Canis lupus familiaris: one gene and its partners. The protein of the gene in region 5 interacts with the protein of the main gene of each other region in a pairwise test. Links are inferred from orthologs where the notes say so. Each region holds a gene or a part of one and is shown on either strand. Other genes may lie near its edges.

The links.
Region 1: the proteins of ZYX (region 5) and VASP interact in binary tests that used the Homo sapiens proteins (3 or more experiments, as listed by UniProt). The link is inferred for Canis lupus familiaris from reciprocal best matches to the Homo sapiens genes ZYX and VASP.
Region 2: the proteins of ZYX (region 5) and TUFT1 interact in binary tests that used the Homo sapiens proteins (3 or more experiments, as listed by UniProt). The link is inferred for Canis lupus familiaris from reciprocal best matches to the Homo sapiens genes ZYX and TUFT1.
Region 3: the proteins of ZYX (region 5) and CASS4 interact in binary tests that used the Homo sapiens proteins (3 or more experiments, as listed by UniProt). The link is inferred for Canis lupus familiaris from reciprocal best matches to the Homo sapiens genes ZYX and CASS4.
Region 4: the proteins of ZYX (region 5) and NEBL interact in a two-hybrid assay, tested with the Homo sapiens proteins (2 studies listed by BioGRID and IntAct). The link is inferred for Canis lupus familiaris from reciprocal best matches to the Homo sapiens genes ZYX and NEBL.
Region 6: the proteins of ZYX (region 5) and IMP3 interact in binary tests that used the Homo sapiens proteins (3 or more experiments, as listed by UniProt). The link is inferred for Canis lupus familiaris from reciprocal best matches to the Homo sapiens genes ZYX and IMP3.

What each region holds. Positions count from the first base shown.
Region 1 is NC_049222.1:110,761,347-110,764,884, reverse strand, and holds the end of VASP (vasodilator-stimulated phosphoprotein), read left to right. Parts: intron 1-420; coding exon 421-472; intron 473-626; coding exon 627-666; intron 667-866; coding exon 867-912; intron 913-1,067; coding exon 1,068-1,158; intron 1,159-1,813; coding exon 1,814-1,871; intron 1,872-1,997; coding exon 1,998-2,035; 3' UTR 2,036-2,845; downstream 2,846-3,538. UniProt on the Homo sapiens protein: Ena/VASP proteins are actin-associated proteins involved in a range of processes dependent on cytoskeleton remodeling and cell polarity such as axon guidance, lamellipodial and filopodial dynamics, platelet activation and cell migration.
Region 2 is NC_049238.1:61,269,678-61,273,508, reverse strand, and holds part of TUFT1 (tuftelin), read right to left. Parts: intron 2,756-3,831; coding exon 2,687-2,755; intron 1,905-2,686; coding exon 1,815-1,904; intron 1-1,814. UniProt on the Homo sapiens protein: Involved in the structural organization of the epidermis. Involved in the mineralization and structural organization of enamel.
Region 3 is NC_049245.1:42,396,983-42,400,813, reverse strand, and holds part of CASS4 (cas scaffolding protein family member 4), read right to left. Parts: intron 2,258-3,831; coding exon 2,177-2,257; intron 1,272-2,176; coding exon 1-1,271. UniProt on the Homo sapiens protein: Docking protein that plays a role in tyrosine kinase-based signaling related to cell adhesion and cell spreading. Regulates PTK2/FAK1 activity, focal adhesion integrity, and cell spreading.
Region 4 is NC_049223.1:9,942,612-9,947,070, reverse strand, and holds the start of NEBL (nebulette), read right to left. Parts: upstream 3,026-4,459; 5' UTR 2,641-3,025; coding exon 2,560-2,640; intron 2,469-2,559; coding exon 2,397-2,468; intron 1-2,396. UniProt on the Homo sapiens protein: Binds to actin and plays an important role in the assembly of the Z-disk. May functionally link sarcomeric actin to the desmin intermediate filaments in the heart muscle sarcomeres.
Region 5 is NC_049237.1:6,031,431-6,035,068, reverse strand, and holds the end of ZYX (zyxin), read left to right. Parts: intron 1-117; coding exon 118-238; intron 239-352; coding exon 353-522; intron 523-623; coding exon 624-802; intron 803-1,686; coding exon 1,687-1,807; intron 1,808-2,390; coding exon 2,391-2,495; 3' UTR 2,496-2,974; downstream 2,975-3,638. UniProt on the Homo sapiens protein: Adhesion plaque protein. Binds alpha-actinin and the CRP protein. Important for targeting TES and ENA/VASP family members to focal adhesions and for the formation of actin-rich structures.
Region 6 is NC_049251.1:38,869,657-38,872,570, forward strand, and holds IMP3 (U3 small nucleolar ribonucleoprotein protein IMP3), read right to left. Parts: upstream 1,589-2,914; 5' UTR 1,508-1,588; coding exon 953-1,507; 3' UTR 720-952; downstream 1-719. UniProt on the Homo sapiens protein: Component of the 60-80S U3 small nucleolar ribonucleoprotein (U3 snoRNP). Required for the early cleavages during pre-18S ribosomal RNA processing. Part of the small subunit (SSU) processome, first precursor of the small eukaryotic ribosomal subunit.

The DNA of each region.
Region 1 (3,538 bases), on a different chromosome or scaffold from region 5:
GACAGTGCTGGAGATTACATTCTCCTGAGATGGCTGAGGTTTGGAATCACCTGGGGGTAGCCTCCAGAATGTTCTGAAACCCTGAATTCTAGAACCTGAGGAGGTCTCCCCTTAGAGGAGATCCTGCCTCGAAATCTTGGAAACTCAGATTCCTAGAATCCCAGCCATGTAAGATCGAGAATCCTCCACCCTTAGACTTTTGTGATTCCCAAATGTGAGAATCCTAACCCCCCCTCCCCCCACACACACACCCCAGTTGGAGAACAGCACTCTCTTTAACTTCTAAAACTCCAGTTTCCTTACCCTTTGAGGATTCCAGAACTCTACACCTTAGCATCCACCTTTCTAGAACTCTGGTAAGAATTACTGAGTGGCTGAGGGAGGGCTGAAGTCATCTGTTTTTGCCTGTCCCTCCTGCAGAAGGAAAGCCACACAAGTTGGGGAGAAACCCCCCAAGGATGAATCTGCCAATGTGAGTTAGGGGCTCTTCCTGCCAGGTGCACCTTAGGCTGTACCATTCGGGTAGGGATACTGGGGAGGGCCGGGGTGCGACAGGAACGGGGCGGGGTGACGCCAAGGCGAGGATCAGCCGGCGGTCTCATGGCAGTTTTATTTCCCACCAGCAGGAGGAGCCAGAGGCCAGAGTCCCAGTCCCAGCCCAGAGTGGTGAGTGGAGCCTGTCTAGCCTGTAGGGCCTCCGGATGCCCTGTTCTCAGGGGGAATGCCCCCTCCTGGGGGAGTCTGCAGGCCATGCTGCGGACTGTAGTCCCTTGAGACCCTTTGAACAGGAGCTGATGAGGCTGTGGGGAGACTGAGGCGGGGCCTTCCTTGTCCCTGATCTTCCTGATTTGTTGCCTGTCCTCCAGAAACTGTGCGGAGACCCTGGGAGAAGAACAGCACAACCTTGCCAAGGTGCGCCATCAGTGCTGGGTCCCTCCCCTCCCATAAATAGATGGATCTGTCACCTTTGTAGGAAGGGACACCAGGCGACCCTTGGAACGGGAAGCAGGGGAGGCCGACCCTTTCTCTAACCTCATTTCTGTCCCAAACCACACTGACTCTCCTAGGATGAAGTCCTCTTCATCCGTGACCACTTCCGAGGCCCACCCCTCCACGCCCAGCTCCAGTGACGAGTCAGACCTGGAGAGAGTGAAACAGGTAGCTTGGCGGGGGGTGGAGGGTGCGGGGTCGGGTGTTGGGAGGCCCCGGCTAGAAAGGGGCCACAGGTGGAAAGGAGATCTGGGGCCAAACTCCGCCATCCATCTGCCCTGTGATTCTGTGAAAAGGCCTCAGAAACCTCAGTTATTCAGCCTGAGAAATGGAGAGATTGAATCAGGTCAGGGATGACACACATACCACAGCCTCCTCTTCCAGCGCCAGTCACAGACCTTACTAATCTATCACTGCACTCATTCCTGATGAGCACCCAGAGTCCTTTCCAGCACACTAGCCCCAGACAGCACCAATCGGAATTGGCAGGAGACAGAAATATATTTGCCAGCCCTAATACTGGATGCTCTCCAGTCCTTTTCATCTGGCTCCAACGATCCAGAATTTTCCCTGAGAATTCTCCAGTCACTCTCTGGCCTTATCAATGATGTCACTGTGTGTGTGTGTCCCCGCGTGTGTGTTGGGGTGGGTAAGGGTCTTGAACCTTCTTCCTCTGGCCATTAAGAAAGGGGGGGGGGGGGGGCTTTCTCTTTAGAAAGGGGGGGAGTTATTTTAAAAGGGGACTTTCTCTTTAAAAAAGGGGAGCTTCATTTCTGCAAGTCCAGGGTGCCCTTCCTGATTGGTTGCACCCCATTATTTCCAGGAGCTTCTGGAAGAGGTGAGGAAGGAACTGCAGAAAGTAAAAGAAGAGATCATTGAAGGTGAGGTGGTTTTTGAATTTTAAACATTTGTTTTGGAGGCATCCCGTCTCCTGGAAAGGGCCCTGTTGTTGGAAGGGAAGGCGGAAGAGGCTCTGCCCATGACCCCTGCTCCTTGTTTCCTTCCAGCGTTTGTCCAGGAGCTGAGGAAGCGGGGTTCCCCCTGACCACAGGGCTCCAGAAGATCCTGTATCTCCTTTCTGCACACCCCGCCTGTCACCCTGCTTTCCCTGCCTCAACTCGACTTGGAATTGGCTAAAGACCACACAGGAATGCATCTCCCCCACTCCCTGTCCTACTTGGAAAATACCAAGGGGGTGTGGCTCCGTGGCCCCAGGGCCACACCCATACTGGCTGCTGATTGGCTGGGGAGGCCCCCACCCTTTGCTCCCTTTGGTCCTTCCCCTTCGCCATCCCCTTGGGGCTGGTTCCTCTGTTGGGGATTGGGGACCAAGTGACCCCACAGTAAGGGGGAAGGAAGGAGGGAATCTCACATTCCCTTGTTCTAGATTCACTTTAACGCTTAATGCCTTCGAATTTTTGTTTTTTTAAGGAAAAAAAAAAATATATATATATTTAGGTTTTGGGGGGAAGGGAAATTTTGTTTCTCTTTCGTTTTGATAAAACTGGGGTGTGGGGAGTTTTTAAATGCTATGCCCAGGGCTTGTCCCCTTTGGAGCAGCTATTTAAGGGGGAGGATGTCCCACCAGGCTGGGGGCACCTCCCCCACCCCCACCCCCACCCCAGGGAGCTCCCTTCCCTTTGGCTCCTTCCCCTTTTCTATGAGGAATTAAGATGCTATAACTTTTTGGAACCTCAGTTTTTTGGTTTTTTATTTGGGTAGGTTTTGGGGTCCCCCTGGGGAAATAAGATGAGGGAGAAAGGAAAGGGGGAGGAAACCTCCCCTCTCCCACCTTCACCTTTAGCTTCTTGAAAATGGGCCCCTACCGAATAAATCTGCCAGTTTTTTATAAATATGAAGATTTCTGGACTGATTCGGAGGGCTGCTCTGGTGAGGGTGGAGGTGTGTGTGTGCCCCTCCCGGCAGTGATCTGCCTTCCCCTCCTCTTTCTTCTTCCATCCTGTATCTGCTCCAGTTCCCACAGGCTCCGACAACCAATCTGCCACCCTGGAGAAAGCTAAGGACAGTCCCTCACAGTGTGGCATCAGGCAAGTCCTGTTGCTACTCCTGGGCCTCAGTTTCCCCATCTGGGAAATGGCTTGTGGGATGACTCTGACCCTTCCAGTGGGAATCCTCCCAGCTTCTCTGCTAATTCCAATGATCCTGTACCCATTTTGCAGATGTACGCCATGGTGCTCAGACACATTCTTAAAGATGACTTATTTACCCCAGAGCTCCTTTAATTATAAAATATTTACAGTCTTAAAAAAAAATAGAATTCAGAAATCACAGAGCTCATATACACCCCCTTCAGGGGTTCATTGGTTGGGTAGGGGGTTGGGGGGTAGATAACCCTGCCTGGTTGGAATATTCCATTTGGATGTGGGGCGACTTCAGGGCTGAGGGCCAGATGGTCCCACTTGAGGAAGCCTTTGTATGAAGGAGGGTGAGGGTGGACTGGGTGACCAGTCGAAGGATAAGCAGGAAGAAGGAATCCCAGAGTACTCAAGAGCAGGTTCGGGTGGGAGATGGCAGATGTGACAAGTGA
Region 2 (3,831 bases), on a different chromosome or scaffold from region 5:
CCCCGCAGGGAGCCTGGTTTTCCCGCTGCCTGTGTCTCTGCCTTTCTCTGTGTGTCTCTCATGAATAAATAAGGAAAGAAAAGAAAGAAAAGAAAAGAAAAGAAAAGAAAAGAAAAGAAAAGAAAAGAAAAGAAAAGAAAAGAAAAGAGAAAAGAAGAAAGAAAAAAGAAAAGAGAAAAAAAAAAGAAAAAGGAAGAGAAAGAAAGAAGTAGAAGAAGATAGAGGAAGGGGAAGTAAAGGAGGAAAAGAGGAAGGAATAAGGAAGAAAGAAGAAGAAAGAAGAAAAGGAATAAAGGATGGCAGGAAGGAAGAAAGGCCAGAAGGGGAAAAAAGACTTTGAGTGCTCTGGAAAATCGAGAGGGGAGGGAGTGGAGAAGCATGTGTGTGGCCTTAAAAGGGAATACTCCGGCTTTGTAGGGAGGATGAAGGGAACCTCGGCCTAAAACCTTTCTACAGACTGGAGATCATGCAGGCTGCCTGCCACCAACAAAGAGTCTCCCTTCCCTCTCAGAGATCCTGGGGTTTGATGAAGCAAAAAGCAAAAGGTGAAGTGGCCTTTGCAGCAATCCTTTATAGCCCATAGCTTGATGTGATGAAATGACTGCTGGTCTGTGCAAACAAGGGCCCCGGACTTCTGGGCCAGTCTCAGAGCATATCAGGTTGTCTGGTCACTTGAGAAGGCATTTCCCATCAGCCAGATGTGAGCATAGCCATGAAAGCCCTACCTTGGATCACAGCAGAATGAAGTAGGGGGCATGACCACATAAGCCACAGGCATGCTCACACCAAGGAGGAGCCTTGCTGCCACCAGCTGTACAGTCATCGTTTCGCTCAGGAGGATGAGGGTGGGGGCTCCTGGAGAGAGACTCCCCAACTCCCCAAATCAAATGCAGAGGAAGGAGATATAACTCAGAATCTAAAGAAGGATGAGGGTCAAACAGAAGAGATGGTTCTGTTCTCCTAAGGGCACTTCTAGCCTCCAATTTTAGAAAAACTGAAATACAGTATCCCAGAATCATCCATCCATCTCAAAAAGACCCTTCAACAAGTTCAATATGACATTTACTGATGACCTTCTGCATCCTATGTCCTGTGCCAAGTGTGGGGATACAGAGACAGCAGTGGAGGTGAACCCTACCTTGAGGAGCTTCTGGTGCCAGATAGAGACAGCTATGCACACAAACAGACAAAATTTCAATTCACACCACAGGTGTCACCCCAATTAAGCAGGATTGACTTATGAGAAGTTTGCATTTATAGGTAATTGTTTGCTTTATAAGACTCTGGATTGCAAAAACATTGATCCCATAATCCTCAAATAGAAGAGGTTTTGCCAATAACTTTTTTTTTTTTTTTAATTTTATTTATTTATGATAGTCACAGAGAGAGAGAGAGAGAGGCAGAGACACAGGCAGAGGGAGAAGCAGGCTCCATGCACCGGGAGCCTGACGTGGGATTCGATCCTGGGTCTCCAGGATCGCGCCCTGGGCCAAAGGCAGGCGCCAAACCGCTGCGCCACCCAGGGATCCCGGTTTTGCCAATAACTTAATGGAATTTTATTTACATAAATTCCATTTTTATACACTGTTTTCAAAACAGGTATACTTATACAGAGGCTGATACGTGTAAACACAGGTGCCCATCAACTGGAGAGCATTAGTAAGGTTGTGAGTGCTCTGAGAAGCCAACATTGCCTGTGTTCTCTCCTTTCCTGGCAGTGATGTGAGATTCGGCATCTGCTGTGTGACCAGCAAATGGGACTGCCCAGCACAGCCTCTTCCTTGTGGACCCAACCATTGACCATTTCCTATTACCTGTAGTTCCTGTCCATGGAGAGAAGCTCCTAGATCTCTGTCAAGCTTGCTACTTATGTCCTCCTGGAGCTTCTGCAGGCAATTCTGGGCCTGGGAGAGGAGGGCAAGAAGCTTTAGCTTTGGGATAAGGAAAGAGAGCACGTACCAACTCACCCACTATGGCCTGTCCCTGACCCATACTCCTGTGAGCCAGGTACTGGCCTTAGCACTGGCTGGGGGAAGGAGGGACCCCAGGCAAATGGGGCTGCAGCACAGTCCCTCCTACACAAACAGGAAACAAAGCCTACACGAAGGAAATCAAAACCCTGTGCTGCTGGAGGCAACATTCTTGTTGCAGAGACACAAAAAGCAAATGAGTGAAACAAACATGTAATATGGTACATGATGACAGGTGCCCAGGTGCCAATAGGAGTCATGGTGAGGGTCAGGAAAAGAGGTTGGCAGTTTAGAGAGGATGGCTAGGGTACAGTGCTAGGCACATAGTAGTTAAATATTTGTTGATTAATGGAAGGGTCACAAATGATACTTGACTCAAGGGGGCGGCATGGTGGTGGTTTCGGTATGAAGGAAGCTGATGGGAGAGAACCAGATCCCACAAGGCCAGGGTGCCTTGGTGGCTCATTCTGTTAAGTGTCTGCCTTCTGCTCAGGTCATGATCCCAGGGTTCTGGAATAGAGTCCTGCATTGCACTCCCTGTTCAAATGGGGAGTCTACTTCTTCCTCCCCTCTCCCATATGCTTCTCTCACCATCCCCACCAATGGTACTCTCTCTCTCAAATAAATAAATACAAAAAAAAAAAAAAAAAGATGGGAGCCAAAAAACTGAGAGGTTCCCACAAGGGAGGGGTCCCCACCTCCTGGATATACTGTACCTCACTCTTCAGTTGGTTGACATTCTTCTCGTGAACTATCTTATCTCCAGGCCTCCCCTTCAGGTACACCTGCAATAAGGGAAACAAGACTCTTTAGTTAAGGAAACTCTTGGGAGGGCACCTGGGTGGCTCAGTGATTGAGCATCTGCATTTGGCTCAGGTCATGATCTGGAGGCGGGGAGGCCTGGGATCAGTCCCGCATAAGGCTCCCTGCTGGGAGCCTGCCTCTCCCTCTACCTATGTCTCTGCCTCCCTCTCTGAGTCTCTTATGAATAAATAAAATCTTTAAAAAAAGAAAAAAAAAGGACCTCCTGGGAGGTTAATTCCTCATGGGCAGGCTCCTACACTACTGGTGGGAAGGTAAATTGTTACTGCCTTTCTGCGTGGCAATTTGATGATTCAAATCAGGAAGCTTAGAGCTGTAATTACTCTTTGACCTATCAAACCTACTTCTGGAAATTTATCCTAATGAGATAAACTGGCATAGCCAAACTGGCATAAACGAACACTCACATATATACGTAAATTTGTACAAAGGAGGTTGTAAAAAGGTTTACACATTTTTCTCTATACATTCTTGAATCTTTTACAATTAAGAAAATATTTAATACCTGTATTATAAAACACATACGCAATTTAGTAACATATGTTCAGCAAAATACTGTTTATGATTGCAGAAATGGAAATAGGCACAATGGCCCACAATGGGGGATTATTTAAATTGTGGTACATCATAATAGAATACTATGCAGCCATTAGAATACCAGACACTGGGCAGCCCGGGTGGCTCAGTGGGTTAGCACCACCTTCAGCCCAGGGTATGATCCTGGAGACCCGGGATCGAGTCCCACATCGGGCTCCCTGCATGGATCCTGCTTCTCCCTCTGCCTGTGTCTCTGCCTCTCTCTCTCTCTCTCTCTGTGTCGCTCATGAATAAATAAATAAAATCTTAAAAAAAAAAAAAAGAATACCAGACACTTACATTTATAGACACAGAAGATGTTATAAACCTACATTAAATCATTAAAGTGTTTGGTGGGGGGGGGGGAGCGAGCAAATTGTAGAATACAGTGTATATAATAGTATATAAAACAATTTAATTTTTGAAAAAATACAGACAAATATAAAAATATCTGAGAGGATAC
Region 3 (3,831 bases), on a different chromosome or scaffold from region 5:
TCTGGGGAGTGTACACTTTCCTTTTGTTTGTGAACAGGAACGCTGCTCTGATATGATTCAATCTCCCTTTGGGGAAGCTGGAGGCATTTTGCAAGCTTCAATGGTGCATGGGGGGTCATGGGCAAGGTATCTTCCTTCTCGCAGTTCTGCTTGAAAAGGAGCTTCCCATTGGCAATGACGATGGAGGCAAACCTCTTGATGTCTTCTGGAACCATCCGTGCCACCATGACAAAGCGCTCGAGGTCATCCGGGTTGTTTTGGACCTTGTCGGTCACAAGGACTTCCAGAGACCAGTTGCAGCTGTCCAGGCTTTCCTTTGTCCCGAGCAGGATCTGGTAGGAGTTGGAGATGGTCTGTAGCTGGTCCCGGATCCTGGCCTGCAGGGTGGTGTCGCTGAGGTTACAGGCGCTCCCCTGGACGCCGCGGGCGAACTCCAGGAATGCTCTCAGAGACTCCTCCACGCGGTGGGCAGCCGTGCGGATGGCGCCGAGGTTGGCCTCCAGGTAGTCTCGGAACCTCCACTTCCTGCTGACAAAGAGCATCAGGCCGGCGACCGAGCCGGCCACCTGCTGCTGAAGTGCCGCTACCGTCTCCCTGGCCAGGTCTGGGTCCAACGAGAGCTCCTTGCCTGAGTCCTCCGAGCAGGAGCTGGACGAGGAGTCCGTGGACGTGGATGAGCACGAGGACACAACGCTGGCTCTGCTGTCACAGCTGGAAACGGACAGCCTGTCGGGGTCCGGGGACAGCGATGGTGCCTGTCCTGAGGGCCACGCGGATTTGCAGTCCGTGTTCTCCGAAGGCCCGTTCACTGTCCCCAGCTCGGTCGCGGCCCGTCGGCCCCCGGCCACCACTTTCGGGGTGTCATAAATGTTTGGCTTGGTGTTCTGCTGTTCCACCCGGGGAATCAGAAAGCTCGAAGGGACCTTGTAGCCTGCACTCTCGTCCAAGGGGATCGTGTCCCTGGGAGCCAGAAATTTGTAGCAAGGAATTTCTGGAAGGCTGAGTTTTTTCTGCATGGGCACGTTTTTATGCAGGTGTGGATTGAGGGACCTTGCTCTGCTATTTGGAGGATTCTGGAAGCTGGACATATACCTGGGGGGAGTGTGGGGCTCTGATTCTTCCACAAAGCTGCCTAGAGATGCATTTCTGCCATCAGCTTTTTCTGGAGACACTGGCGTGTCATAGATCCATTCCGACTTCTGGGGGCTCGGCAACGTGCTGTAGCTGCCTTGCCTCGTGGCGATCGCCGACATCGCGGCAGCGCTCTGCCTCTGCGAAGAGCCCCACAAAGATGCCCAGGTCAGCAGCAATAAAAAGAGGGTTCGAGCGACTCGTCTGACAAATGTGCATTACGCTGAGGACCTACTAAGTGCTGGGTTGCGTGCTTCTTACAAATCTGATGGTCACTCCCCCACTCAAGTGTCTTCAGCAGCTCCCCATTGCCATCATCGCTCAAGGCCCTTCATAATCTGGTTGTATCCGCCTTTAAGCCTCCCCACCACACCTGCCACCAGCCTCCCTGTGGGCTCAGTCACCCTGGCTGTTCACCATCCCCTGAACTCCAAATGCTCACTTAGCCCATTATAGTTCATTTTGCCCAAACCAGTCCTTCTGTTCTACCTGCCCTCCCGACCCCTTCCTTTCCCTCTAACAAACCTCTATGCATCCCTCACGATGCTGCAGAGATGCCATCACTTTCTAAAGGCCTTCCCCAATGACCTTGGGCATAGGTATATGTATTTTTAAATGCATTCGATAATGAACATGGATTCCAGATTTTCAAATTAAGACATGTCCTCTATAAACAGATAAAAACCCATTTTAACACAACCCATCTCTGGGGTGTGTGGAAGGCGAGGAAGAAGAAGCATTTACCTAAGATCTACTGAGCTTTTGCTCTGTGCCAAGCACTGTATCTGTACTAGGTCCTCTGCAGGAATGATCTCAGTCCTCACAATTAGTTTGTTATAAGAAACTGAGGCACGGAGAAGGTAAGAGGACTTGCCCAAAGCACATTGCTCGCCCTGTTCCTGAACACCACGGCCAGCAGGGGGTTCAAAGGAAATAAGCTCTGTTATGAGGAATTTGCATTCCCAGTTTTGGCCATGTTAATAAAACATCCTGGAGGATGCTCACATTTTCCTAGTATCGAATCTCTGGGCCTCATCATACTTACACCTGGTGGGCTGGTCATGGAGCCAAGTGCTGCCCTTTTGGGGCTGGCGGGTATATCATATAACTGCTGCTTCTCTGGCTCCTGGGGAAAGATGGAAAAGGATAACTTGGAGTTTTCCTTCCTGATGGATACACATCACAAACTACCCACTGCAAGCGTTCTTTCCAAAAGAGAATACAGAACACCAAAGATTTGTGGGGCTCTCGGTCATGATGCTCACATGGTGGAAGTTTATGTGGTTGTTTTCAACAACAGACTTTGTGCTTTAAAAAGATACCTTCTTGGGATGCCTGGGTGGCTCAGTGGTTGAGCATCTGCCTTCGGCTCAGGTTGTGATCCTGGGGTCCTGGGACCGAGTCCCACATCGGGCTCCCTGTGGGGAGCCTGCTTCTCCCTCTGCCTCTTTCTCTCTCTGTCTCTCATAAATAAATAAATAAATAAAATCTTAAAAAAAAAAAAAAGAAGATGCCCTCTTGACGGAAGCTGGGGACAAACTATAGGGTGGCTCATTTGCATCTGTAGGTTAGCCTTAGCATGGACTTAAAAAGGAATACATGAAACTGTGACTTAATATGCTTCCATCTTTTTTGTTTGTTTTTCTCAGCAGAAATTTTCCTGGTGCTTGTAGGTTGTGTCATCATCCTGCAAATATTCACAGAATAACCACCAGGACACTGGGCCATATGACATATAGACACCCAGTAAGGAGCATAAGACATGGTTCTGGACAGATGATGTGCTTTTTTTTTTTTTTTTTGTACAGCAATTAGAAAATACATATATCAGGATGTGAAAAGTAGGTGCCGTGTTCCAAAGTGAGGGGAAAGAAAGTAGGAAACAGGGTTCTGCAAAGAAAGAGCTGGACTCTGGAGAGGGGGTTGCTTTGGAGAGAGCTGAAATGTGGGTTTCCTACCAACTCCTCCTCACTGGGGAAGGGTGGGGTGTACTTCATCCCCCTCAAGCAGAATGGAGAGTGCCCCAGCAGGACCTTCAGGGACGAATCATGCCACCTGAGCATAGTGTCCTAGTGCACAGGGGCCAACTCCAGCTCAGGGAAAGCTAAGGGTGGGAATCTGATGGCCAAGCACAGGGGGTGGCTGTGCTAGAGATGGCGTCTTCTCGGGTGGGGACCAGGGAGAAGGAAGAGAAGCAGCTGCCTTGGCCACAGCAGTTGAGAGAGCACCAAAATTCTCAATCATTAAGGTAAATAACAATGTGATGCAACATTAAAAAAAATCACAATTAATGCAAAAAAATCACGATGAACAAAACCTCACTATTTTCAATAAAGACAAGGGTGAGGGATCCCTGGGTGGCGCAGTGGTTTAGCGCCTGCCTTTGGCCCAGGGCGCGATCCTGGAGACCCGGGATCGAATCCCACGTCAGGCTCCCGGTGCATGGAGCCTGCTTCTCCCTCTGCCTGTGTCTCTGCCTCTCTCTCTCTCTCTCTCTGTGACTATCATAAATAAATAAAAATTAAAAAAATCTTTAAAAAAAAAAAAAAGACAAGGGTGAGAGGCCCAGGATGAGGGTGAGGTGAGTGAGGTGAGTGATATGAGTCCAGCATGTGTGTCTTTATTTAAGACTTTGGTGCCCGAAGCCAGTGCCTCAACTCTGCTTGTCCTGTGTGGGGGCAGCCTGTGCTTCCGGCATCT
Region 4 (4,459 bases), on a different chromosome or scaffold from region 5:
TCTGGAATACAAGGGATTGGAAAACAAAACAAACAGACTTGATGGTTTGTCTTTAAGTCTGAGACCAGGGCAAGGGCCCCTGGGCTAAATGAAATGTGGGCACTGACCAAGGGGCACTGTCAGTAGCAGGAGAGGACCTCAACTGGAACTCCCAAACTAACTCTGTGCGACCACTTGTCCATTTTCGTATCTGTTTTAGCTCCGTGACCAATGCAACTCCAATACACATTTTAGACAACCATCTGGCAATGCAGACAACATAACTGCCATGAGAACTTCAACCGTTAAATTCATGGGCTCCATATAAAAAAACTGATGACACTGACAGTGAATAAAGCAGTTAGTACTTAATAAATACCTTCCTTTTCAACCAAACTTCTAAAAACTAAAACTTCCATTTGGTCCACTACATAAAATCCTTCCAGAAAGTGTAAATTAAAATTTGTTTTTAAAATGACTGTACAGGGAACCCTGGGTGGTGTAGCGGTTTAGCGCCTGCCTTTGGCCCAGGGCGCGATCCTGGAGACCCGGGATCGAATCCCACGTCGGGCTCCTGGTGCATGGAGCCTGCTTCTCCCTCTGCCTATGTCTCTGCCTCTCTCTCTTTCTCTGTGTGACTATCATAAATAAATAAAAATTAAAATAAATAAAAATTAAAATAAAATGACTGTACAAACTCCTCTTTTCAGTTTTGTTTTAGAAACAAAATAATTACTTGTTCAGCCTCTTCACTGGTAAATATACAAATTTCAAAAATTAAACCAGTATCTTAAAAAGTATGGAATTCTATTTTGAAACAAATAGTGAACATGTACACAGATATAAATCAGGCCACAGTCTGCGATCTAAATATTTAAGTAGTACAGACATTCCATGCAGCAGAAATCTATAAAAAACAGAAATGACTCCCACATATTTGATTTTTCCTACATGGAAGAGAAATAACACGGCTTTGGCTTTTGCAAATGGTAAAGGCCACGCCTCTCACCATAAGGTTGGTTTTACAGTCACTGCAAAATGACCTTATCCAAAACAACTCCAACAAAATCATCTACTCACTGAAGTTGCCACTTTGGTTCCAACGGTTTATATAATTTAGCTCATCCACAATTACCCTTTAATAAAAAACATAATAGCACTAGAAGAGGTACTATCTCTGGAGTTATGAAACTTCAGGTTTTAAATGGTAGCATTCCTATTACCAATATTAGTGTAATCGATAATAGTAAGGCTAAGATAAACTTTGCAGGGAAATCTACAATAAGAGCAAACACAGCAGAATGGCTAAGGCTGAGAGAGAGCTTTGTTTCAATCCTCCCTACTGCTTAACCGTGTGACCCAGGCAAGATACTTACCAAACCTTTCGGATACATTACCATTACTTAATGATACTGTAATAGAGGAACCAAGGCCAGTCCTGTTATATAACTTGCCCCAACCTTACTGTTAAATCAATGGCCAGTGTTGTGTTCCCTTCTTTCCAGACCCAGGCCTGATTCACTTTTCAGGAGTCATCTCTCCTCTGCACCAGCAATTCTCTCACAATTGTTTTAATGAGGAGTATCTAAAACTTTCTAGAATTCTAGTTTACCTATTTACTGGTTTATCAGTACATAATTACTAATATATATATATATATATACATACATATATATATACACATACATATATATATAAATACAAACACACACATAATTCCACAATTCTAGGATTCCCTGGAGATATGATATAAATTGATCCCAGTTAATGAAAAAACCAGGAGAAAAATGCTCCTTTTTGCTAATAATATCATCATCTAGTTCAGGGTTCATACTATGTAGTTCAGTAACTAATGAATCCAAAATTGTCAATACATGTTATGTATGTGTGTGTGTGTATATATATGTATGTACACATATTTACATATATATATATATATATATATATATATATACACACACACACACACATATTTTTTTTCCTGGTTTCAAAAACTACTGCATTCATCACAGTCCTCAAAAAAAAACCCAAAATGTTTTTTTTTTTTAAAAACCATTGGTTTAGACAGAGATCCTCCCGTAACAAATTACACCACCAAACAAATTTTAAAAGGCTTTGCAGTTCACACATGGAATGCACTCTGAAATTTCAATGTTTTACGATTTTACACTAGAGTGAAATTCATAAGGGATAGCACTCTGGATTAAGAATTTGGAGACCTCTTCCTACAGAAATTCTCTGTATTGGTGACCTTGAGGAAATCCACGAAAGTGTCTGGACTTAGTTCCATGATCTGGAAAATAATTGTGTTTTAACAGATGACTGCAGGGTTTTCTCCCCAACTAGATGATTCTATGACATGATAGTGCCACATACACAGTGCACAAATCAGACAAAAATTACTTAAGCCCACTTACATCACTAATGAGTCTGGTGCATTTTCTGGCCAATTCCATCCTTAGGTCTTCAATAACAGGCTTAAAGAATATCTGTCCAGAAAAGAAAGGAAAGGAAACATTTTTTCCAGTGATCAACTTAGAGGAACAAATACCCTTCTTCAGCTGGCCCATTCCTACTTACCATGTCTTCTTCATCTTCTTCTTCCTCTGTTTTTCCCTCTTCAGTTTCATCTTTTACATCCTCAAACACAGGGACCCTCATTTTTACTCTTTATGGATAGGGTTTTTTTCTTTTTTTCTTTTCTTTTCTTTTCTTTCTTTTTTTTTTTTTTAATTTCACGAGTACAGTACCTTTCTCTGTACTATAGCACCCTTGAGATCTTGGAGCCTCTGGTGTTCTGGCAGAAATGACCTTGCCCAGGCCTCATCTCTATTTAGCTCACACTTCACCCTCTTATCACAACTATGTGTGAGTGGATGGACAGGATTGCAGAGGTCAGCCAGGGCTAGCCTCCAAGTGGAAATACCACTCTCAGGCAAAATTCGATTTTGTGACCTTTTAAAGTCAACATTCTCTAAACTGGGTAAGAAATCCAAAAGAGACCATGTATTTATATTTCACTAATTTAATTCATTCATAACACAGTTTAAAGGAGACTTAAAGATGGTGGGAAAATGACTCCGCTACAACACTCAAGATAGCATAGTCCAAAGCCTGTTATCTCAAAGATTTCTCAACTCCGTCTAAATAAAGTTTGTGCTGGAACATCAGACATATCTCTGATTTTATATAGTGAATCCAGATCATTCAAGCTCATTTCGTTAACCTAAGTTAAATTTTTTATGAGAAAAACACATACTTCCCACATTCTAAAAAGTACTAACTTTAAATTAGCTGATTAAAGTCTAGTAATTTACTATGAAAAGTCATTTGAACCACTTTAAAGAATCAATTCTGAGTTAATTATGACCATTAATCCTTATATTGCTATTGTATTATTTTAATTGTAAATATCATTAAACACAAGAAGTTGCAGTTAACATAAGTTGATATATCATTTAAGAATTCTAGAAACATCATTGTTTCAAAAAATAATAATAATCATGCTCTTCCAGTTCTGCCCATTGTGTCAATTTTTACACAAGTTTGCTGGGTTTTATACTATAAAATATTTACTCTTCATATATTCCTCTACATGCTTGGAAAAATAAATTATAACTATACTGATAATGTAGTATGTGTCATCAGTTATATAATTAAAAATACATTTCTCAAAAAAATCCTTAATTGTCAATTTAGGCAATAATAAGGCTCTATAAAATTCACAATATACCAGTTTGGTTACTCCAACCTAGGGTAAATTAATTTTCACAAAATCATAATATCAGTGTGAGACATAAAAAAATACCCTATGGTAAACAATGAAACTAATTATAAAATACAACTTTATTCCAAATACATTATTCTAAGTAGCCAAGAATAATGCAACTTTCTCTTGATATCATATCTAGTTTTAAATTTTCTTCCTAATTGTTTCAGCCTTGCCTAAACTAAAAATCTGACCAAAAAATATTCTAAACAATCTTATTTATAGATTATTCCTCAAATTGTTTTCCATGAGGCTACAGTTCCACAGAATACTCTAGAGAGGAAAGGGGGTTTCTTAAGCAAAATGTATTTGGAAAAGCCTGTATGTTCATCTCAACTCCTATCACTTAGAGATCCACACCACCTAATGACAAATCAGAAGCTCCAAGAAGACTCACAACCGAGAAAACTATTTAGGTTTTCTTAATCCAACATTTCTGAAACATGAAATCCTATTCACTTAGTCTGATCTAATCTACCTATTTACCTTCCTACCATTTTTTAATGATATCCAATGCTCCAGAAAATTAACATTCTTCTGTGAATTATTACTTAGGGAAATATTATCCTACTCTGAAAAACTGTTGTATTCTAAAACAGTTGTCGGTCTTTTCATGAAATGATTCAGGCTAACTTAATGGCATCCCATATTCTGCTTACTAGCAAAATGCCAAAAAGAAGTCCCCCAAGGCTGCGGAACTTGGAAACCTTT
Region 5 (3,638 bases):
GTCTGGGAGATGGGAGGGGAGTTCGTCCTTCCTGGAAGAGAGCGGATCAGCGGGCTGGGGAAAGTTCTCAGAGAGGGTGACTCTTGAGAGGGTCTGGAGAAAGTATTGGCGTTTCAGGTACGCTCCCCTGGGGCCCCGGGACCTCTGAGTCTGAAGGAGGTGCAGGAGCTGGAGCAGCTGACCCAGCAGCTAATGCACGACATGGAGCACCCTCAGAGGCAGAATGTGGCTGTCAATGGTGAGCTCACCGGCCACCTGTCGGGACCTCCACCTCACTCCCCGTCCGAGCCAGCCGACCGCCTGCCTGCGCGCTCCTTCCTCCCATTGACTTCTGTCTTCTCTGGCCTCCCAGAGTCCTGTGGCCGGTGTCATCAGCCCCTGGCACGCACACAGCCCGCGGTTCGAGCCCTGGGACAGCTGTTCCACATCACCTGCTTCACCTGCCACCAGTGTGGGCAGCAACTGCAAGGACAGCAGTTCTACAGCCTGGAGGGGGCGCCCTACTGTGAGGGCTGCTACACTGTGAGTCCGGGTGGGGGCTCAGCCCGGGGCTGGCCGTGGATGTGGGGCAGGCGGGCCTGGGGTGCCGGTTCCCGGCCGACGTCCTCCCGCCACCTCCTTAGGACACTCTGGAGAAGTGCAACACGTGTGGGCAGCCCATCACTGATCGCATGCTGAGGGCCACGGGCAAAGCCTACCACCCGCAGTGCTTCACGTGCGTGGTCTGCGCCTGCCCACTGGAGGGCACCTCCTTCATCGTGGACCAGGCCAACCGGCCCCACTGTGTACCTGACTACCACAAGTGAGGACCCACCTCCTGTCTTCTGGGCTCTTCTCTGGGTGCCAGCCGTCGTCGTCTGGGGGCTGGGCCAGGCTGCCCTCCTGATTCCACGGCAGCGCCAACCCCCTGGCCTTCCTTCCTGGCCCCACATGCTTGTCTGACGGCAGGAGACCAGTTCGCCTGGATTCAGCTGTCCAGTGGCCTCAGGCCTTGGTGGCAAGTCTTGCTACTGGCAGGTGCCCCCTCCCTGGGCCTTTGGCTCTCGGAGGCTTGTGGTCTTGTGTTCAGCCACGAGTGTTGGAATGACTTCATTTCACGCACAGGCTGGGTCCCGAAAGTCCTTTTGGAGATTGGCTTTTTGGAACTCTGGATTTCCCCTACAAGCAGTGGCTGCTTTCTCAGGCCAGCTGTAGAATCCCGTAATGTAGCTAAAGGGTGTACAGAAACTGCAGAGTCTGACTCCCACCTCTGCCAGTGTGTTGGAGGTATAGGTTTTCAGAATTCCAGCCTAGGCATCCAGAACTTCACATCCCTCCCTCTGTACACCCCAGCAGTGGGGCAGACGCCATGCAGCAGGGGGTCCTGGGCGGGGGTGGGGTGGGGCTGGAGAAGGGTGCCTCTGGCTGTGCTTTCTGCAGGAGCTGCAGTCAGAGGGTGAAGACCTGGTGGCAGAGGCTCCTGGGGGTACATGGGATTTTGGGGAGGGTGCTGGGGAAAGGCAGGAAATTCCCCTTGATAAAGGACGGATGAGGGGGCTGGTCTTAGGATTTCTCCATTGAGTGTCCTCTACCCAGGGATGTGAGGCAAATGGGCCAAGACACCTGCCCTGTTGCCATGCACATCCCCCTGCACTCTGGGAACCCCTTGCCCCCACCCTGACCCCTGCCTCGCTTTTGCCCCTCCAGGCAGTATGCCCCCAGGTGCTCCGTCTGCGAAGGGCCCATCATGCCTGAGCCCGGCCGCGAGGAGACCGTGCGAGTGGTCGCTCTGGACAAGAACTTCCACATGAAGTGCTACAAGTGCGAGGTTGGCCATCCCTCTGGCTCCCAGCGCTGGGAGGTGGTGGGACACCGCTCACTACCAGGTGGTGGCCGGTACCAGCCGGGAGGAGTTTGGAGCTGCAGTTTTGAGGGTGGAGGGGGTGATACCTGTGCCTGCTCCACCCAGATGCCCCCGTCACTGTGCAAGTTGGGGGGGAGGGCTTTCTGTGGGGTCCTTGGGTTGTGGATAAACCAAGAAAAAGAGTGACCAGTGGGAGGGAAGGGTGCTCTCCTTCGCTGTACTGGAGGGAGATGGAGATGTGCTTGGTGAGGTCAAAGAGGAAGAGAAGGGAGTAGAGGCAGGCGGGAGAGGTCCCATGTCTTTTTTTTGGGTGGGTGCCTTGGTAACAGCTCAACCCACTGTCCGCCTCGGGTGGGAGAGGCCTAGGGACAAGGAACATGGGCAGGAGAGGTGAGGCTAGGAGAGGAGGGTGGGAGTGGTGGGGACACAGGCAGTGATGCTGGACGTTGGCCGAGGCATGGAGCATCTGGTCTTCCTCACTTAAAGGTGGAGGTGTGGGGGGCACACAGGGGCCTTCCACCAGCGGGCTTTTCCTCCTTTCTCCCAGGACTGCGGGAAGCCACTGTCCATCGAGGCAGATGACAATGGCTGCTTCCCCCTGGACGGCCACGTGCTCTGCCGGAAGTGCCACACCGCCAGAGCCCAGACCTGAGTGGGGACGGGAGAGTCCACTCCCCACCCGCGGACCACCCACAGAGACCGCCCTGCCCCCCACCTGCCCTGCCCCCCCTTCAGTTATTTTCTGATGTCCAGCCTCTCCTTCCACGCCAGCCCCCACCCAGGTATCCCAGACACCTTGTCCCGGGCCCCAACGTGGCCTAGGACTGCAGAGTCCCAGCTCTGGGTTTCCAGCCCACCTCCATCCTGCAGGGACCACCCACCGTCCTCCAGGTGTACCCCACCTGAGGGGGCACCAGGTTGAGCGCTGCTGCTTTCACTGCTGCACCGATGCCCTCAGCTGGCCCCGGAGCAGCCACGTACTCTGCTTGCTGAGGGCCAGGAGACGCCCAGACTCTGGGAGGCTGGGCCAGGCCGGGCCGACCGGCCTGGACGTCCTCCCACCCCCACCCCCCATGCTGCCAGGTTGTGGCTACAGCTACAAATCAATAAAAAAAGACCTGTTTTCCAAAATCCTTAGGAGTCAACTCTTTTGTGCATATGGCCCTCATGGGTGGGGTAGAGGAAGTACAGGGAATACAAGAGCCAGGGGTAAAGGGGAAAACTCAGTTCCTGTTTATTTACAAAAATATATGTATGTATATGTATATATATTAAACCCTTCCCCAGGTCCCCCCCACGATTACATTTTCACTTCCACCCCTACCTCCCTTTTTAAAACAAAGGCTCCCGGGCCCAGAGGTGAGTTCCTCAGGGAAGGGTGGGCAGGAGCAGCACCAAAGGCCTACATAAGTAGGCTGAGGGGAGGGCCATGGGGAGTGACCATGGCCCCCGTCTTTGCCCCTTTGCCCCCACGACAGGGTGGGTGGGGGAGGGGCTCAGTCCTTGAATCCCTGAATACTGCAAAGAATGCGCTTCTGGTGTCCTGGCAGCGTGATCCCCATCTGGGCCAGGTCCCTGTGGGCAACGAAAGGGGATTGTTGAGTGTGGGCCTAACCCCCCCGCAGTTCTCCGTGCCCAGCACCCTCCCCTTCCCCTCCCCCCCCCCCAGGTCCTCACTCGGCCGTCAGCTCGAGCACACACTCCATGGTGTCCAGCCCCGCTGAGCGGAAGTGCAGAATGTAGCGTTTCATGCGTATAGGACTCCAGCCACTCGGGGACGCTTCGATAGGGGATC
Region 6 (2,914 bases), on a different chromosome or scaffold from region 5:
GCCTCTTAAAGGGAGCCCGATGCCAGCTCCGCCACTTATTGGCTATGCAATCTTGGGGCAGTTTGACCCATCTCTGCCTCAGTTCCCTCATCTGAAAAGTAGAGGATAATTGGATTCCCCACTTCATAGCATGTTGGGAGGATTAAACAGATTAATCCATGTAACGCACTTCCAACTGTGCCTGACACACAGCAGACGCATTTGCTATTAACATCTCCAGTGTCCCCTTCCCGTATTTCTCTAGCAAATGCATAAGTCTTGGCACTCTATACTTAGTCTCCTCGTCTAAGTCTTGGGTAAAAAGAGGTAACCTCCCCCTTCTCCAGTTCCCCACCGCGAAGAACATGCTTCCAGGAACCCCCTGGGCCACTTCTAACCGCTAGCTGGCCAAGCTACAGGGTGATTATTTCCTTGGGCGAGCCAAGAGCAAACACTGCAGCCCTCTAACACGGTTACTTCCTGGGGCTGGAATATCCACAGGAAGTCCTGTGGGGAAGAGCTCGGCCAAGACAGTCATTCCGAGCAAGGGATTAGTGCCCTGACGAATCTGCCGCAACCTCCGCAGGCGCCCTCCCCACCCCCCACCCCCCACCCCGGGGGCCGGCCTCGCTCACGGGCAGGTCGCTAACTCCGCTCTTCCCTACTGGGTTCTCGAGCCCAGGAGCCCAGATGTGAACCCAGATGTGAGCCCGTACGAGAAAGCCAGACAGACACAAAGGTGCACGCTCCGAGCGGCTGGCCCCTTTACTGGCATTGGGACGGCTCCTCTCCGCGCGCGAGGGCGCACAGCGCACTAACCCATGCCCGCCCTCGCCCCGCATCTGTGCAAACTCGAGCTCGAATTCTCCAGGGTCCGTGCGCCGCTTAACCCCGAACAAGAGCGAGTACTCGAATCAAAAGGGGTCGAGCAACGGGAAGGCGTCGGCGGGCGGCGCCCCGGGGAGGGACGGCGCTAGGCCTCCAGGTCGAAGTCGTCGCGCTCCTCGTTGTACTCCAGCACGTGGCGCCGGATCCGGGACGAGTCCACCCAGGTGACGAAGTCCTCCATGCTGCGCGTGACGAGGAAGGCGGGGTCGGTGACCACGTCGGGGCCCACGCGCACGTGGCCCTGCTCCACGAAGGCCACGGCGGCCTGGAGGTGCTGCGCCATGCGCAGCTTCAGCAGCACGGTGGGCAGGCGGCGGCGGCAGAAGGCCGAGGCGGTGACCGAGTCGCAGAGCGCGAGCGAGCCGCGCGTGGGCACCAGGCCGAGGGCGTACAGCTTGTCCAGCAGCGCGGCCGAGGCGCGCACGCGGAACGGGTCTCGCTCGGGGAGGTCGCGCAGACGCCGCGCCAGCTCGCGCACCGCCCGGCTCAGCTGGTTGTAGCGCGTGTAGTCCTCCCGCCGCTGCAGCCGGTACCGCCGCAGCACGCGCAGCTCGTGCAGGTTGTGGTCGGTGGCCTCCCAGTTCAGGAAGTCCACCTGCTTCAGCAGCTTCTGCTCGTGGAACTTCAGCTTCCGCACCATGATGGCGGCTCCCGGGGCCTCCAAAGCCGACGCCTCGACCGCGCCGCCGAGCGCCCGCGCGACTTCCGCCCAGGCCGGCCCAATGAGAGGACGGCCTCGGGCCACGCCCTCCGCCCCCATTGGTCAGGCCGGAGCCACGCCCCCGCCAGCCACGTCACTATCTCGCGTTGCTTCCCGCGTTGCCGGAAGTAGGGCCGAGGTGCTGGCGGTGGGGCGGCTGGCGCGGCCGCGGCCCGGGCAGGTGCTCTTCCTTTAGACCTTTTTCTTGTTGTTGTTTTAAACCTCCTCGTGGTGTTCAGTCACGAGGACTGTATCCCCAGTGCAGCAGTCGTTCAGTCCCACTCAGACTTATGCCTGTTAGAGTCTCCCAGGTGAGTCCGCTCCGGGAAGCTGAGGTCAGGCCGGGCGGAGACAGGTGCCGGCTGTGCTGGTTCGGCGGGCTGCGCGGCGCTCCCGGTGCTCTCGGTGCTCCCGGCGGTCGCGGTGCTCCCGGTGTCACGGTCCTCCGGTGCTCCCGGCGGTCGCAGTCCTCCCGGTGCTCTCGGTGGCCGCGATGCTCCCGGCGGTCGCGGTCCTCCCGGTGGCCTTGATGCTCCCGGCGGCCGCGGTCCTCCCGGTCCTCCCGGTGGCCTCGATGCTCCTGGCGGCCGCCGGTCCTCCCCGTGCTCGCGGTGGCTGCGATGCTCCCGGCGGTCGCGGTCCTCCCGGTGGCCGCGATGCTCCCGGTGGCCGCGATGCTCCCGGCGGCCGCGGTCCTCCCGGTCCTCCCGGTGGCTTCGATGCTCCCGGCGGCCGCGATGCTCCCGGTGCTCGCAGTCCTCCCGGTCGTCGCGATGCTCCCGATGCTCCCGGCGGTCGCGGTCCTCCCGGTGCTCCCGGTGGCCGCGGTGCTCCAGCTGCTGGGAGCTTCCCGGCGCCGCCCGGTCTAGGGGGGCCCGACGCTGGCGAGCCTGCAGGAACCCCGACTGCCCGGCCGCTTCCTCGCCCTCACAGAGGCCTCCCCGAAAGCTGTATTAGCAGATGTGCCAGGTGACTCATCGAACCTAGCAGGTCCGAGACACCTGGATTCAAGTACACACCCCGAGCTCACTCGAATTAGCCCGACCGGGTGGACTTCTGGTCACCCGGCACCGAGCTGAATACATTCAACGCTCTTCGGCTCCTTCGGTCTGTAAGTCACATACACGAAACCGGTCTGTTTGCCTGGGCCTTTGACGCCATCTAGCTTCCTCGCTGATCATTTTTAGTTTTGTACGGGAGTTTCATTGTCCTTTTAAGTACGATACTTACTATGTGGGAAATGATACATGTCAGTGTAAGTTATACATGTTAAGTTACAAAGTATAATGAGGATACTTAGGAACCCAACAGCCAGCTTAAGAAAAATGTCACCAGGACCACTTCCAT